4 linked regions of the Nothobranchius furzeri genome follow. Each later gene encodes a partner of the first gene's protein in a complex. Links are inferred from orthologs where the notes say so. Each region holds a gene or a part of one and is shown on either strand. Other genes may lie near its edges.

Evidence for each region.
Region 2: med20 (region 1) and med21 share a complex: the UniProt entries of both Homo sapiens proteins name them as parts of the mediator complex. The link is inferred for Nothobranchius furzeri from reciprocal best matches to the Homo sapiens genes MED20 and MED21.
Region 3: med20 (region 1) and med1 share a complex: the UniProt entries of both Homo sapiens proteins name them as parts of the mediator complex. The link is inferred for Nothobranchius furzeri from reciprocal best matches to the Homo sapiens genes MED20 and MED1.
Region 4: med20 (region 1) and mediator of RNA polymerase II transcription subunit 13-like share a complex: the UniProt entries of both Homo sapiens proteins name them as parts of the mediator complex. The link is inferred for Nothobranchius furzeri from reciprocal best matches to the Homo sapiens genes MED20 and MED13L.

Annotation. Positions count from the first base shown.
Region 1 is NC_091743.1:46,651,386-46,655,524, forward strand, and holds med20 (mediator of RNA polymerase II transcription subunit 20), read left to right. Parts: upstream 1-1,339; 5' UTR 1,340-1,431; coding exon 1,432-1,445; intron 1,446-1,857; coding exon 1,858-2,003; intron 2,004-3,198; coding exon 3,199-3,452; intron 3,453-3,535; coding exon 3,536-3,757; 3' UTR 3,758-3,946; downstream 3,947-4,139. Other genes in the region: bysl (bystin), read right to left, coding at 85-223, 339-495, 798-1,071. UniProt on the Homo sapiens protein: Component of the Mediator complex, a coactivator involved in the regulated transcription of nearly all RNA polymerase II-dependent genes.
Region 2 is NC_091741.1:59,847,008-59,851,033, forward strand, and holds the start of med21 (mediator of RNA polymerase II transcription subunit 21), read left to right. Parts: upstream 1-1,226; 5' UTR 1,227-1,276; coding exon 1,277-1,318; intron 1,319-1,654; coding exon 1,655-1,769; intron 1,770-3,943; coding exon 3,944-4,026. Other genes in the region: fgfr1op2 (FGFR1 oncogene partner 2 homolog), read right to left, coding at 238-372. UniProt on the Homo sapiens protein: Component of the Mediator complex, a coactivator involved in the regulated transcription of nearly all RNA polymerase II-dependent genes.
Region 3 is NC_091756.1:39,221,577-39,225,642, reverse strand, and holds the start of med1 (mediator of RNA polymerase II transcription subunit 1), read left to right. Parts: upstream 1-1,266; 5' UTR 1,267-1,310; coding exon 1,311-1,431; intron 1,432-2,332; exon of another isoform or gene 2,333-2,410; intron 2,411-2,763; coding exon 2,764-2,870; intron 2,871-4,066. UniProt on the Homo sapiens protein: Component of the Mediator complex, a coactivator involved in the regulated transcription of nearly all RNA polymerase II-dependent genes.
Region 4 is NC_091746.1:54,299,461-54,303,723, forward strand, and holds the start of mediator of RNA polymerase II transcription subunit 13-like, read right to left. Parts: upstream 2,801-4,263; 5' UTR 2,608-2,800; coding exon 2,536-2,607; intron 1-2,535. UniProt on the Homo sapiens protein: Component of the Mediator complex, a coactivator involved in the regulated transcription of nearly all RNA polymerase II-dependent genes.

The DNA.
Region 1 (4,139 bases):
ACCCTGGGAAAAGAACAAAGTAGGTGAGATCATTTTTAACAGGAGAACACATTTCAACATAACACAAACAACTGTATAACTTACCTTACCGACACCCCGGTAGACCTCGGTCACCCTAGGGTCCAGCTGGGGCATTGGAACCCCTGATACCTCAGACATCACTGTTCCCACCTCGGTTTGCTTCTCTGTGATCTTCTCCATGATAATATCAGCTAAGGTCCGCCTGTGATGGTCACAAAGAGGAAAACAGCTGAGTATACGAACATAAACTTAACCTCAAAGTGGACTTTAGCAAATTCCAACAGCTAGAATTCAAACAAAGTTGTGAGAAATCTTGCCTCATTGGAGGGTTTTTATTCATGAACATCTCAATGGCCTTCTCATCATCAGAATCAACGATGACTTCAGTATCACCCTCCACATCACCATCCCCAGCACCTGCTTCTCCCAGAACTGGCCAATCTTCATCTGAGTCAGCATCCTGGGACTCAGGGCCTAAAATAAACAGGTCAGACAACATTAGAAAATATTATTCATGCATTCAGCAAAGACTTATTTCACCTAAATAGTTCTGAGAAGATCACGCTGGGAACTATTTTTCTCTGTGATCGTCTGACATTTTGTCCACATAAAAAACATTCGTCATTAGTTTTATTTTTGCAGAGAAATAAAGGGATGTTGCATAAGTAACACCGTATAACTAATTACAAAAACACTTTCGTGGTTTCTACGCTTGATAAACCAGACTTAATTAAAAAAAATACTGCCAATTTAAGGTCCGAAACCCTCCATCATACCGAGAACAGTGACTGGTGCTTTCCTCTGCTCAGGTGCCAGGCCATACTCGGTCTGCAACTCCTCTTGTTGAATCCGGGCCTGTTGTAAGATTTTCCTTGACAGACGTTCATCCACGTAGGTGTCCTCACTTTCGACCCGGGCGTCTCGATTCTTCACCCGGCCTCGGGCTCGGATCGTGTCCGCCTGGAGGATCTGGTCGGCCAGTGGCACCGCTCCTCCTCCGCCACTCTTCTCTCCTCCACCGCCACCTTTAGCTCTTTTCACTTTCGGCATCTTTCAAGAGTGACTCAAGCTGCGACGACGCTGTCCGTGTTTTGTTTTACCATTAGAGACACAAACAACGCGGAGAAAGAATTCTGTAAACAGTCTGTATTCTACACGTGCAGATTACCGTACGGCGGAAGTGACGATATACGTAACGTCTGTGCACTGAAAAACATATATATAACATACCATTTTATATGATGTTGATTTTATATGTTTGTATGTAACATACATTTATGCAATATGATTATAAAGTTTCTTGAGTTTGTTTTTTAATTTTCTGAAACAAGGTCGTTTACGTGCACCGGAAGTGTAAATGTTAATCCGGAAGTAATTGCTTCACGAGTGTTTTTTGCAGGCGAGAAATCAATGGGTGTTACTTGGTAAGCAGATTTACTTATGTTGTAGTTAAATGCTAACTGTAATAATATTTTTGTAATATATTTTATCACGCTGTGCATATGATTTCGTTTGGCATGTGTAGCTAACTCGGTGAATGTAGCCTTTATTTGCTTCCAAACCGTTTTACACTGAATAGAATAGTGTTTATTGTCGTTGTACGGTGTACAGCGAAATTAGAGTGCCACTCTCTTTAGTGCAAAATGGAAAACTATACAAAAAATAATACAGAAATAATATAAATGTAAAATGAACAGTAATATATATATTAGTTGGGTTCAGTAAGCAGAATTTTAGCATATTGAGTAAACAGAAATAGGACATTCAAATGTTATTGCACATGATCAATTTTGAACAGGTTGCTTCACGGTGTTGTGTTGTTCTTGTGCTGTGCAGTGTTTGCCAGGTGCCCGTGGCGGAGGGGAAGAGTGTCCAACAGACAGTGGACATTCTGCATAAGAAGCTGGAGCAGCTTGGAGCTGTGAAGCAGGGCAACTTCTGTGTAGACTGTGAAACATATCAATCAACAGTAAACGCTGGCGGTAATTTTCAGCTATTAACCATATAAATATTATCATTCCTGTTGTTTAGGTGCTTTAGATGGATAGTCTTCTGCATTGCTATTAATACAACTTGCTGCAGGGGAATTTGTCATATTTCTTTGATTAAATTCTGCTTTTTGAAAATGTTCTAATAATTATGTCAAATATTTGACTTAAACTCAATTGTCCAGGATATGTGTGCCTTGTGACAAATATATTGTCAAGCTATGTAATTTTCATTTTTACTGATCTTATTTCTCTGTAAGGTTAACAAAAACAGTCATCCATTGGGTAAAAATAGCCAGATTAAAATACAGTTGGTGTGTTTTAGAAAGGTTTTCTGTAAATCTTCATTACTATGTTATGCAAGGTTAAATGAGCCACGTTTCCACTGTATCTTTCCCCAGAAGTCAGGAACATTTAAAAAGCCCCATCCACTGCAAGAATCCGCTTAAATTTGTTTAAATGGGACAGCAGTAGCTCAGGAGGTAGAGCGGGTTGTCCAGAAGGTTGCAGGTTCGATCCCGGCTCAGACCAAAGAATTCTGCTGTTGTGTCCTTGGGCAAGACACTTAACCTGCCTTGCCTGCTGGTGGTTGTCAGAGGGGCCGATGGCACCAGTGCTCAGCAGCCTCGCCTTTGTCAGTGCGCCTCAGGGCATCTGTAGTGACATCATAGCTCATTCCCACCAGCGTGTGAATGTGTGTGTGTGAGTGACTGTGTTGTGAAGTGCTTTGGGGGGATGTAGAACCCTGTGAAGGTGCTATACAAACACAGGCCATTTACATTAAGCTCCTTGAAAAATAGTTTTTATTTTTATGTTTTATAAACATCCGCAACCCGGGGTCTATAAACGTTTGATTTGGCATTTATCTTTCTAAGTTACTACTAGTCTTTTTTTTCCAGGTTTCCACCAATGAGTCCATTAGCAGAGCAGTAAATCATGATCTAATTTAGCTCAAGTGTCCTCCAGAAAAAAAGGTGTCTGCTCTCGCATCCCTCATAAGCAACATTTATATAAACAGGACATGGTATGATTCTACTACTTACTTGTGTAATTTTAAACTTAATAAGCATGCTGCTCTAATCTGTGTCCAAAAATAAAAAAATCATGCAAAGTCATTATGCAAAAATTGCATTGTTACATTTTGCTGTTCTTCATGCAATTTCTCACTTTAAGTCTGGGTTTGTTACAGGTCAGCCCTCCAAGCTCCTTTATGTAATGCACAACTCTGAATTTCCCCTGAGCTGCTTGGCTCTGTTTGAAGGAGGACCCTGTTTGGTAGCGGACACAAACTTTGACGTCCTCATGGTGAAGCTGAAGACCCATTTCCAGAATGCCAAGGGACACAAGGTGGAGTGTCGCGGTTCGAGATATCGCTACTGTGACTTCTTGATTAAAGTTGGCACGGTCACAATGAGTTCCAGTGTTCGAGGGATATCAGTGGAGGTGACAGTTTGGTATTATCAGTTAGACCAGAGGCCCATTGTTCTCTTTTTTGACAGGATTAACCCTTGATGTGTTTTCCTCAGGTGGAGTACTGTCCCTGTGTGGTTCCAGGGGACTGCTGGAACCTCATGAAGGAGTTCATGCTGTCTTTTCTTGGCAACAATGTTCCTGAGCTTCCCACTGTATTTGCTGCCAAGCCTGAGGGTCTTTTTGCACCAGCAGACTCTGTCGACACCATGACTCAGTACCTGGAGTTGTTCAACAAGCTACGGAAGTTACAAATCACAGGAAGCAATGTGCACTAATAACATTTTTTAATGATTGTATTGATGTGTGTTAAATGTGGTCCTATGGAAACCGTATGATTTGTATAGTTCTATTTTTGTAACTTCAGTTTTGTATTTGTTTACCCTGATACAGTTAAAAGGAATACAGCTACAATCTATAGATGCAAATGCTCAACACAGACAAAAATAAAGACAAAAATCTACCTATTTCTGCAAGAAGTAAAAATTCCTTACACTCGGTGGGGAAATGTTGGTGTCACAGCAGCAATCATTCACATCAGGAGCAAAGAAGAACAAAATCCTGTAACATATGCAAGAAATTCTTAAAACATTCAATCGAATAAAAAAAATCTGTGCAGATAGACGAAGTTTATAATGAGGAGTGATGGCATGAAAGGAG
Region 2 (4,026 bases), on another chromosome or scaffold:
GTGAAAAAATAAATAAATAACGAATCAATAAAAAGCTTCGCCCTCAGTAGTTATGTCCTGTAAACTAAACAGCAGTCAACGCTACGGTTAAAATATTCCATCATTCTTTGGAATGCACTTTACTTTCTTCTTTTGCATTATAGAGTGTTCAGTTATAGAATTAGTAAAATGTGACCCCTGGTGGCACTAAGCTAGTACCCAACAGCACATAAAATAGGAAAAAAAAAAATCACATACCGTTTTTATAGCCTCCACTCTCTTGTTGAGAGATGTTGTCTGTTCAATTAGCATCTCAGCGGCATTGTCGTGGTTACGAAGCCTTTCCACTAATGATTTGGCATCTGCCAAGACCTTCTCTAAACTACAATTCATACCTAAGGAAATACAGAAGCATAAAAACAACTTATTTTTGATTATTCAACAGCTCTGACTTGTTGGTATCAATTTATTGAAAATAAATATAATTAATGCAATACACTACGAATACATGCAAACAAATCAGTCCAGTAAGTACTAATCTTTATTTCTTCAAACTCAGCTCATTCAAAGATCTGTCTACTTCTATATTAGTTGTTCAGAATCTTTTTACAGACAGCCACACGAAAATACATGAACTTTCACTTCACCACACTCTGTAAAATAATAATAATTCACCAGAACGATCGAAATGAGCCATGAATAAACGTTTCTAAAGCTAAAGAACCTAGCTTGAACCTTAAGCCTCCTCGTAGGTGATAGCACGCTAGTTTACAGCCAATAATGCATTGATAGGTCATTTTACTCTAATAAGAGTTTTATTACTTAACATATTTTGCATTTACTGACACAATTTATCACCACAACACTTCATTAATCAAATATAAACTACCGAGGAGTTCATAACACCAACCGGCTGCTATAACTAAACTTGTAAGGTCCACAAAAGGCAGCAAAACTGACAAATGTGTGGTCATACCTGAAGAGTTCAAAGTACAAAACCACTTGGGTTGAGTTAGCTTCTTTACTTCCTGTTGTTGTTTGGTGGCTAACACTGGCTAAAAGCTGACGTTTACTCCGGATTAGATGCTTTGGCGCGTTCCCATTTCCTTAAAGCACGAGAGTAAATATCGCTAGTCATGAAAAAGTCGATTTAAAACCTATCCACATTACAAAAAACCAGCCGTGGGACGGTCACAGCCATCGCTTCAGCTAACTCGAAGCCTCTTGTTTATTTCCGCGAGACGTTAAACTCTCGCGAGGGTCACGTTGGGGAGTTTTTTATTTTATTTACGGCAACATGGCGGATAGGCTAACGCAACTTCAAGACGCTGTCAATTCTGTAAGCAAAACTATTGAAATATCCCGAAATATAATTATTTTCTACGTCAATAGTTATTTTTTTATCTTACACAATTACAACAAATGGATTTAGATAAGAAATATTTGCAGAATTATCGTTTCAGTCTTTTAAATGTAGCTAATCGCTAACTTGCGAGTCTAAGGTTTAGTTAATTTACACAATTTATCACAGCTTTTATGTTTTAACCAATGAACATGGCTTGGTTTAACTGGTAATGCAACTATCAGACTATACTGGCTGTTTATCTATTCTATATTCTTTTAAACAAATGTCCGGAGTTTTAAAACCCGTGTTTGTTTTGTTGCGTGTGAACAGCTGGCTGATCAGTTCTGTGATGCCATCGGTGTTCTGCAACAATGTGCTCCACCTGCTTCCTTCAGTAATATTCAGACAGCAATCAACAAGGATCAGCCAGGAAATTCAGCCGAAGGTTTGTAACTTCAAAGCAAAATCTTTATTTAAATCTCTTTTCTCCCACATTCAGCTAGCCTGACCAGTCATGCATCCTTATGGGAAGCATTAGTTCTCTGTGTAGAATTAAACAGAGGACGAGTCTGGCAGGCCAAACATGCTCACATGCCTGGTGGAAAAATCACTACCAAACTCTCATGGGTTATTTATTTTCCTATTCGAAGAAGCCACAATTTAATAAATTGTTTCAAAAAGGGGTTTCGGGGTTTAATTGTATAAAAGTAAAAATGCTAGTCAACAAGTGAAATACTATTTCCAGGATAAAGTTAAAACGTCAAGAAAAATGTTGAAATTTTAAAGAAAATTGTCAAAACGTCTAGGAAAAAAAGTGTTACCATTTCCAAAATAGCCTGAAGAACTGAATCTCAACTGTACCCTGCCCATCCCCAAAAGTGTCACTTTGTAATATTTAGTTGGACTGCCCTTCACTTTGATTGCTTCTGCAATGTCAAAAGAATTATTCCCATCCTGAGTTGCATTCATTTTTTAATGAGGATCCTGTAGAGATGTTGAACAATCAAACAGTTTTAACAATTGTCATCGCAAAGATTGTCATTGGTGCTCATTGGGTCTGCATCGATATGCCCTGATCTCTTTCATGGTTTGATCCTGATGAATTGTGGAATTGCCATCTTGAGGTTATACAACCTATTTGCCTTGTTAAATCCAGAAGGGATTTATTTTGTTACAGGAAGTGTTGTTCCCTTTTAACTAAAGGGACGTGTTTGCTGAAGACCCTTATTGTGAAAGACTGAAGATCTCCGAGTTCTGCTTTAACAAAAGGAGTTAAAACCTGATATTTAAAGGGACTTTACGGAGTTTTGAATTTTTATGCTAGCGATTGCCCCCTCAGGCCAAAAGTGTAATGGCAGCTTCAATAGTAGGCTCGTGCACGAGGCGCGCATGCTGTACGTGCACACTCCTTTACGAAAATAACAGCTGAGACAGTCCCTTGTGTGTGTGGCCCGGAGGACAGAGGACAGGAGAAGGTGCAGCTAATTAAATAATTTGGTTCTGTACCTTTCTCTTCAGCACAGCCGACAAAGGTTTAAGATGGGTCAGTCCTCCTGCATGCTCAGATCATTCCCTTCCCTTGCTTGAAAAATTGTTCCAAAATGAAAGTTGAACCCACATCTTTTTTATCTGTGAATTCAATGCCGTTCGGCAAGTGTCAAATAAAAATTTGGGCATCTTACTGCAAAAAAATATACCATTAATGTAATGTACATCCAGATTCGAACTCGAGTCTTCTGCACGAAAGTCCGTCGTCTTACAAGGCGAGCTAAAGCGCCAGTGACGTTCCTTGTGTCTGTAACATTTATATCCTTGATGACAGCTGAAACAACGTTCAAAGAACAGTTTGGAGGGCTATGCCTGAGCGTGAACACGGATGAAGCAGCCTGCTCGACCCGAGCAGCTCTCTTTTTCTGTGATTTTACAGAAAAACAGGCAATCACAGTAAAAATGCCAGGGCTCATTCTACAGGACCAGGGCATTGCAGGAGAATGTATGAAGAAGAAATTTATTATTTCTATACATGTTTTGGCTGTCAAACTTCCATAACGTCCCTTTAACCAAATAGTTATTTTATTGAATAGTTTACTGGGTAAAACATTCCTGTAACCGTCGGTTACAATGATGATAAAACTGGAACAAATGCAGTCTGATTCAGGGGCACAACAGGGTTTGTTTTCTTTTTTGGAAGTTATATTTTGATATTTTTCAAATTAAATTGTAATATTTTTCCTCAGTATTTAGACGTAATTATAGATGTTTAGAATTTGTTCCCCACTATTTAAAGATGGTTTCTACTTTTGTCTCTTGTCTTTTCTCAATGTTCTAGAAATAGTTAAGTGTTGATTCTTAACCTTTAAACTTTTTTTTCTTCATCCTGGAAGAAACAAGCTGACTTTGTCATCGACATTATGACTGTAATCTTGAATTTTTAAAATACTGTTGACGTTTGTCTCGACATATTGACTCATTCTTGGGATGTAGCCTTTATTCTGGGGGGAATATTTAGACTTTTCTTGTCATTTGGAACTATTATGTCGACTGTACCTACTTGTTTAGTTGCAGCAATGGCACTAACGCTCATTGCATTCCCTCATGTGTGTTTTCCCTCTCCTCTAGAATATGCACGGCTATTTGCCGCTCTTATTGCCAGAACAGCCAAAGATGTAGATGTACTGATCGACTCTCTGCCCAGTGAAGAG
Region 3 (4,066 bases), on another chromosome or scaffold:
ACACTCAGCCTGTAGGTGAAAAAACTGGAACATTTTTCCTCATGTTCACAACACTGTGTCAAACAGTTCTCAGCTGAACTTTCTCTTTTTTGTCTCATGTCTAGCTCTGCCCACTCTGCTGCCATTCTGACATGGCACTGATACACCCACCATGAAGATTAGGGAAGATTTAGGTCCAGTGCCAGCTTCACTCCCAGTGCCATACCATCCCTCAGCACAGAGAGGGAGTGGGGGGTGTCCCACTTGGCGTGGCAAGGTGAACTAGCCTCTGATTGATGGGCATGGCTTCAGCCCACTACTGTGCTCCCCAAGGCTCGTGCCTCCTTTTCCTTTCTCCCACTGCTGTCTTGGCAGCAGTGCCCAAATCCTCCTCTGTGCCAAGCAGCCAGCTAAAGCTCCTGGTGGGCACATCAATTACATAGCGGCACCTCCCCTCTTTTCTTCATGTCTATCTGTAGGTCTGTCTACTGACTCAGATCATGCCAATCTAGTCCCTCTCCATCTCCAGTGCTGTCTATTTCTTGTGTGTTTATTTAATACGCATGTTCTTAAAGTATAGCCTTGCAAATGCACCAATACACATATTCATGAACACACTCCCTGCTCTATCTCATAGGCAGGTCATAATGGTTGGTGGGAAAATCCTCCCTGGAGAGCACTCATTGCCACAGGCTCAGCTGTGCAATAGGCTCAGGTGTCTGCATGCAGTATGCGTTTGTTTTTGCAAGGCATGACTGCTTTTGTGGCTTTCATTTTTATTTTTTTAATATGCTGCTTTATATGCAGCTGTGGTAACTTTAAAAGTGGGATTTACCAATAGACAAAAAGAGATCGACAATCAAAACGTGTTACTTGAAATTTACAGTTAATAAACATAATTGTGTAACCTGTCAGTTGCTTTTGGCAAAACATGAATCATTTCCTTGCAGTAGTACGCCATCTGGAGAAATAATTAAGTCACTGTCTTAGGAGGAAGGTGCTGTTATATAGTGCTGTTCGACACAGTTTTAATGTTTTGTTTGACCAATAAAAGAAAATAACTCCTGTCAATTATAATCAGTCGAATTTCCCTGAAAGTATTATATTTTTAAAATAAATCTACATATTCGCGCAGGGACAAATGAAACGAGATTGTCAGGTGAACTATTAATAGAAACTTTTTTTTAATTACAAGAAAATTTGATTTGTAGAAGAAAACTGTAAAGACACCAGGGTTATTTACATTCTTTGTAGTGTCACACTCGCGTCCTAGAGGATGGGCGTACGGAAGCCGCCTGGGTACGCGGAGAACTCGAAGCTTTGAGAGAACAATGGCGTCGGGGCCTGGTGTCTCTCTGCAAAGTGGCAGCCCGGCCAGAGAACTTTCTATTTCGGTTCAACAAGGAGGAAATCTGCCTATCGGTGACCGGGTAAAACCCGAAGATGTAACGGGTGAGGCCTGCTTTTGTTTTAGGTGCTTTAGTTTATTTAGAGTTTTTTAAGATGCGTGAAGTGCTAGGAGAGGTGAGAGAGGCTATCTATGCTAACTGATAGCCAACGGTGTTAACTATTATTGGTGTCGTATTTTTAACATTTAGACTATTTTTGAATATGCAGACAAAATAATTAAACATATAATAATGGAATTTTTTATGAGTGATACAGTTATTTATTTTTTATTTTTATTTCTGCCTTTGTTATGTTGCTAATGGCTAGCAGGAGCTACTGTCTTATAAACTAAATGCAAACGTCAACATTAACATTAGATCAGATTGCAATAATATCTAAAATACTAAAAACAAGTTTATTTGTACCAAATTAGTATATCATTTGAAGGGATGAACGTAAGACTAGCTTTTAAAACTAAGCGAAATAATCAGTCATCCGTCATTAGCTCATTGTTACAAGTTGTAATTGACAGTTAACCACAATTCGGGCGTTTTAATGATGGGAGTATTTAATCGCTTAACAATCTCGTTATGAACTCCCCTCCTTATCCACCTTCCTATGTACTTTAAAAACGATGAAGAAAAATGTTTTACTGCAAGATAACTTTTGAATAAGTTGATAAATGATAACAGAGAACTTAGTTTTGGTGTTCTTTGTTCACAACAAATGTAAACAGCCACAGTTTAGGTGTCATAATCTGGCTGAATGTAAAATTATTATAGGGACAACTAATTTATCAACACAGTATTCACAAATAATAAGTTATCTTTTAATAATTTGTTGTAAATTATAGCACATGTTGTTACCGTTCACATCTTATTTGTAGGCTAAATACATTACAACAGACATCTTCAGCATGATTCATCTACATCTCAGACTGCATGTAAAATATCTGAATGTCTAGATTGGATCTGGTTTTCAACTGGACCAGCTAATTCATGTCCATGGCTTTTTACGGATAATGGCAACATGAGGACGTAAGGTAAATCTGGGCTTCTTTATTTTCTCATAGTTTAACAATCTCCACAGAAGAGCCACCTTGTTGTTTTTGTAATCTAAACGTTATGAAAGACTTGGTAGATCTTTGAAACTACAGATTCTGAAAACCTCAAAGAATTTTTTTTCTGAAAAAAGAAAACATTGTAATTATCTTTATATTTTTGGAAATTCACAGATAAAGGCCCCTATATATTTGCAAATTCCTAAAAGGACGAGTTTAAATGATCTGTTTGAGTGTAGTAAGGTTCCAAACTTGGGCAGAATACACGAGTAAATTTGATTTGCTTTTTAATCATCATCACAACCTGAAATATGTTTTTTTTTTGTCTTTATCAGAGGCAGAGAAGCAGAGTCGGATAGCTGCTCTCCTGGAGAGACTTCATGCCAAACATAATGCTTCACGACCATGGCAGGAGACCTCCAAAGTTGTGCGTCAGGCCATGGTGAGACAGATTCATTCTTCTATAGAAAATAAATCTAAAACATAATGTTTCTTATCACACAACCTGAACTTGACACTGACCTTCTTACTCGCCGTCCAGGGTTCCCGCGGGGTCTTAAAAAGTCTCAAAAGCATTGAATTTAGGATTTAGAAAATAATACCTTAAAAAATCTTTTAAAAGTCTTGAATTTTGACAACTGGGTCTTAAAATTTGTGCTGTATGTAAATTATCCATATTGTATTTGCATTCTAAAATTGCATTTTTCAACCACAATAGTTTTAATTAAATAACATAGTGTAAATAAAGAATGGCAGAACCAATCAAGTGGTGCTCGCTGCAGAACCACAAAGGCGGAGCTGCACCAGAAGGTGGAGCTGCACCAGAGTCAGCTCCGCCCATTCCAGAATCAGCCCCGCCCATTCTATCGGAGTCAGTCCAATTCCTTCCAGTTGTCAGACTTGATAGCATTCTGGAACCAAAGAGGGTGTTATAGCTAAAAAATGCAAGATTGAGGAGGGAGTTGAGAAGTGAATTGAACAGTTTTTGTAAAGGTTCCATATAATTAAAAATCTGACTTTTGGAACTTTTAATCTTGTTATATTGTCATTTCCTCATAAGAAACACGCCAAAGCCATTTTTGGCCTCATTCATGCATTTTCTTCCCATCTCAGCTTCAATTTGGTCTCCTCCCCCAAAGCGGGTCTGGTCTTGGTTCTCAAATCTGGATATTCTGTGAATTTTCTGACAAATTATTTCTGAAATGACTTCTACTGAGACACCGCCAGAAAAATCATACATCCCATCTACAAAGACACACCAAATAACATAATAAAATGTAACGCCACTTAATTTTTATCAGATGTGGTGGTGTAGTGGTGATGGTGTCAGGTTGACATGCAGTTTTGCGCAGGTTCGCCTCCCAGCAGTGGAAATATTCTAATATCTCTTTTCCTCATTTCTAGCTACACTTGCCAGTACTATGTTTACAACGATTTATTGGTATGCCGTTTAACATATAATGACTAATGTGTTTTTTTTATTTATTCATTCGTTTATTTAGCCAGTGTGAGTCCATCTGTGAGCAGAGTTTCAACTAAAATGCTGTTTAGGAACGACCAAATTCAAAGAACTTGTAGAGACATAAATATTTTGCTGAAAATGAACATTACAACTAAAATATGAACAAATTAAATGTT
Region 4 (4,263 bases), on another chromosome or scaffold:
AAGGAACCTACGCAGTCCACAGAAAGATGTCTGTCTTCCCTTCCCCTCTCTCATTACGCTCTCCCTCCTTAATTCCCCCTCCCCTCCTCCTCCGTGCTCTGGCTCACTCTTTCACTCTCAGTTTCTCTCAAATAGGCTGAGGCTTGCAGTCAGGAAATGTACATCAGTCATAATACGTTCCTAAAATGAAAACAGATTCTGCTGCAGTCCTTCTCTGCTGAAAAGCCTCACTCTGTTTCTCCTCTCATTCTGTGCCCTTTCCCCCCTCCTTCATCATGCCAGCTCTGCTTTTTTTGCACCCCCTACACACACACATGCACACACTCACACTTACAAGGGTCTAGTTTGCTTTCTGTCACAGATGGTTGGTCGCCAGCGCAGGAGACAGTTGTTTTGTGGGTACTGCGATTGCAGCCATCCCAAGTATCCGACGCTGGCCACGCAGAGTGCACGACAGTAATCTGCCATGTCCCTTTAAAGTCCCACAGTATGAGCACTTATGCTTTCTAATAAGCTGTTTTTGTTTGTGTGTTTTGCTGTTGTGAGTTGCAATAACAGTGAGCAAATGAGAGGAACAAGGTCCGTGCATGCTTGAATGCTGTTAAACAGGCTGTCAGAGGAGAGCGCTCAACAGCTAGCCTGAAGACCTTTATCTATAACAACACAACCTTTGTTACTCACAGGAAAAGGTTAGGAAATTTCCCACCATGGAGCCTGTCTTCTTATCATTTATTAAGCTCAAACCCAAGAAATTAGCCTATTAACATATGTCCCTATCAACTAATGGTTTGTTAGAATCCAAAATATTTCTATTCTGCGGCTCTTTTTAATTACTAACCCAAATAAAATGTCAAAACCATCAGCGTTTTTTTGTTTTTAATTTAAAAAACTGCCATAATGATGAGAATATAAAGATTGTAATGTCTCTAACAAGTGTCCATGATCTAACGAGGGAAATTATGTTACAAATGCAATTATCTTCTAGTTTTCTCCTAGTGAAAAGAGGAATTAGGAGCTAAACCATATCAAACCACATTAGAACAGCAAAGATGCCAATTAGCCATGTGCTCTGTGCTGTTTTATTAGTAGCCTTGAGAAGTTTTTCCTTGCAAACAGTCAACGTCGCATGGAAGTGCAGAGTCCGTCAGTCCAGAGCGCGTCTGTAGGACGTCAGACTATCTCTGCACTTAGGAACAGGACTGAAATGAGAATCGTAGTTTAAAAACTAAGGTGTGAGCTGCTTCTGTTTTAAATAAACTCACTTTTAACAGAAAATCCTCTTTAACCGTTGAACCCAGCCCTATTTCCACATCCAAATGCATTTTAAATGAGCACGTTAGTGTCTTTATCTCTGTTTCATTTTTACAGGAATTGTGTGTGTGTGTGTGTGTGTGTGTGTGTGTGTGTGTGTGTGTGTGTGTGTGTGTGTGTGTGTGTGTGTGTGTGTGTGTGTGTGTGTGTGTGTGTGTGTGTGTGTGTGTGTCATTGCTTATTTGGACTACCCTGCAGGAACCCTGCCAGTTAGACCGCCGAAGCACTTGCCAGTCATAAATATTCTCAACAAGCCAGCTGATGGATGGTCTCTTTCACCCTCAGTTTGAAAGGGATGTTCATGATGGCCAATAAAGCCTCGGTGAGTGAATGAAAGCTTTTTTCCACGAGGGAATAGCCTCAGATGAGATGGTGACAGAGACACAATCACTGTTTTCTGTTGTTGTCAAGCTGAGAAAATTTAAGATGTCTGATACCGGAGAGCATGTGTCAGTGCACGGGAAACCACACAAGATCTATTTCTTCTCGCTCGTTCACCTTGGAGACTAGAATGAAACATTCATAGGAGCTTTCTCAAGCCCCCTGTGCCACAATTTGTGGCGGCGATTGGCGTAACATGGTCCACAACCTGCAGGATCACCTGAAAAGCCCTCAGGACCCCTATGTTGTTGTGGTTCTCAGCAGCCCTGCTTGCCTGAGCTCAGTGCATGCCTTTCCACTTGGCTGCCTGTTGTGGTAAGACAGTTAACTCGCTGATTGCAGGAGGAAAACTGTGAAAACACACTGCTCTGCCTCCTTCAACCTCAAAAGCGATGAGTTGTGCAAAAATGACACCGCATGTAGTGTGAAAAACGTGTTTTTTTCTCTGATTCTGTGAAAGGGCTGCTTCCGTCGTGTGCCTTGTTGATGCAAATCTTTGTTTCTTTTCTTTAGACACGATTTTCCAGTTGGCAAAATGAAGCATGCATTGTTATCCTATTTCACAAACGCGTGGACATTTGGCAATAAATTATCTTCTTGTAGCTGCTAAACTAGAGCATTTGGGAAAAGATAAATATAAATAGCAGCTATTGTTGATCCGCAGGTTTAGTGGTAATAGTGGCTTTATTTTGGTCTCCCACACCACTAACCCATGTTAATGATTGTCTAATAACAACATCAGCAATTGGTTCACCTTTGTACAGCAGACACACATTTAAGCGTGCCTCCCATGGGTCTTATGACTTGTCTATAGCTGCTGAGCATGATTTATTCATACCGTACCAGAGAGAAGATGTTGGAATGGCAGTCCTCAAGGCTTGCCCCGTTAGCCACCCAATTCGCCGTTGCAGTCATAATCGTCCGCCTTTGGGGTCGCCAGCGCAGGGCATGTCGAAATCCTACATCGGTATCTCAACACCGAGCAGGGGTGACAGATGGGTTCCCTTAAGAGTCAGGCTTCAAGATAAAAGACTCGGGAATGGGCGTATTCAGAGAGATGTGTACAGCGATGCATCCATTAAATCCAATTTTTTTTCTTCAAAAATACATATAAGATAATAAATGTTGATAAATCCGAGCGCGTGAGTGTGATGAGAGGGGATCACAACATTGGTCCAATCCAGGTCATTCCAAATCTGATCAACAAAACAGTATCCATTTCAATCCACACACACACACATAAACACACACAAGGAATGTGATCAGTTTCCAAATAATCCAAAAGGCAAAAATCCACAAATCCTCAAAAAATGGGGGTGAAATAAGCGTCAAAGTTGGAAACGATGGTTATTTCACGCAGGAAACGTGATTCCGTGTGCTCCACAAAGCTGATGCACCATTTGTGATAGTTTTCGAGCGCTATTTATAGCCGCCTTTCTTGCCACAACCGCTCCTCTCTCACACAATGTAAGCCAGTCTGGCTCACACAAACAGGCGCTGCTGCTGCATGCGAGCAGGAATATTTAATCCCTCTGTTGCTCCTGAATCAAACGCGCCGCAGACGATCCGCTAAAAAAGAAACACAACCTTCCCCCCTTCCTCCGCCTCCTCCTCCTTCCTCACGCTGCTCCCCTCCGTGGACAAAAAAATGAAACTCGAGCGGGTTTCCAGCAATAAATAACCCCGAATCATGAGTCAAAGGCAAGACGAAAAAAGTCTAACACTCCACCGAGCAGGAAAACGACAAAACAGGCTGTAGATGGAGGTTTGAAAAAATCCTTCCTTCCTTTCAGCTTACGAAACCTCCTCTCTCACGGCCACAAAAGCCTCAGTGTTGCAGAAAAAAATATCAGACAGGTTTTCTGGGTTTTTTCTTCCCCTTCAAGCAAAAGTGACCGTCCTCGTCTGGCGCCGATCCCAACACAAGGCGAATGTTGCATTCTGCAGACTGCTTCGGCCGAATCGCGTGCTCCTGCCTCTCGAGAAGCGGTCGGGTCGTTGTTGGTTTAAATCCTCCAGCATGTGCATGATTTCCTCAACCGCAGCGACTCCTTCCTCATTGTTTATCTGTCAGACAAGAGTGCGTTATTACACGGCTAGATGGGCGTGCGCGCAGCCTGGATGTGCCACCCTCAGTGTGAATCGGTGTGAATGCGTGTGTGTGTGTGTGTGTGTGTGTGTGTGTGTGTGTGTGTGTGTGTGTGTTTTACGCGAAGCGCTGAAGCCTCTTTTTTTTTTCCTTTTTGCGCACGATCGTCCAGCCCACCACGCATTGTAATGTAATGGCGGTCGGAAGCGCTCAACAGAGACTAGCCTTTCTGTTTGGCCAAGTTTGTTCTCACATGACCAAAGTGTGGGATTACATGTCTCTGATGTGAGGCTGGAGGGGAGGACACGGTGGAGACACTGTCCCCAACTTCCCAAATGTGTCCCTGATGTGTTTGTGGAGAACATTTTTTGTTTGTTTGTTTGTTTTCTATGACAAGATGGTGTCACTCTGATGATTACATAATGTAACTGTTCTCACAAACAGAGGGTGTGACAATAGAGGTCAGCCTGATTTACTGAGCT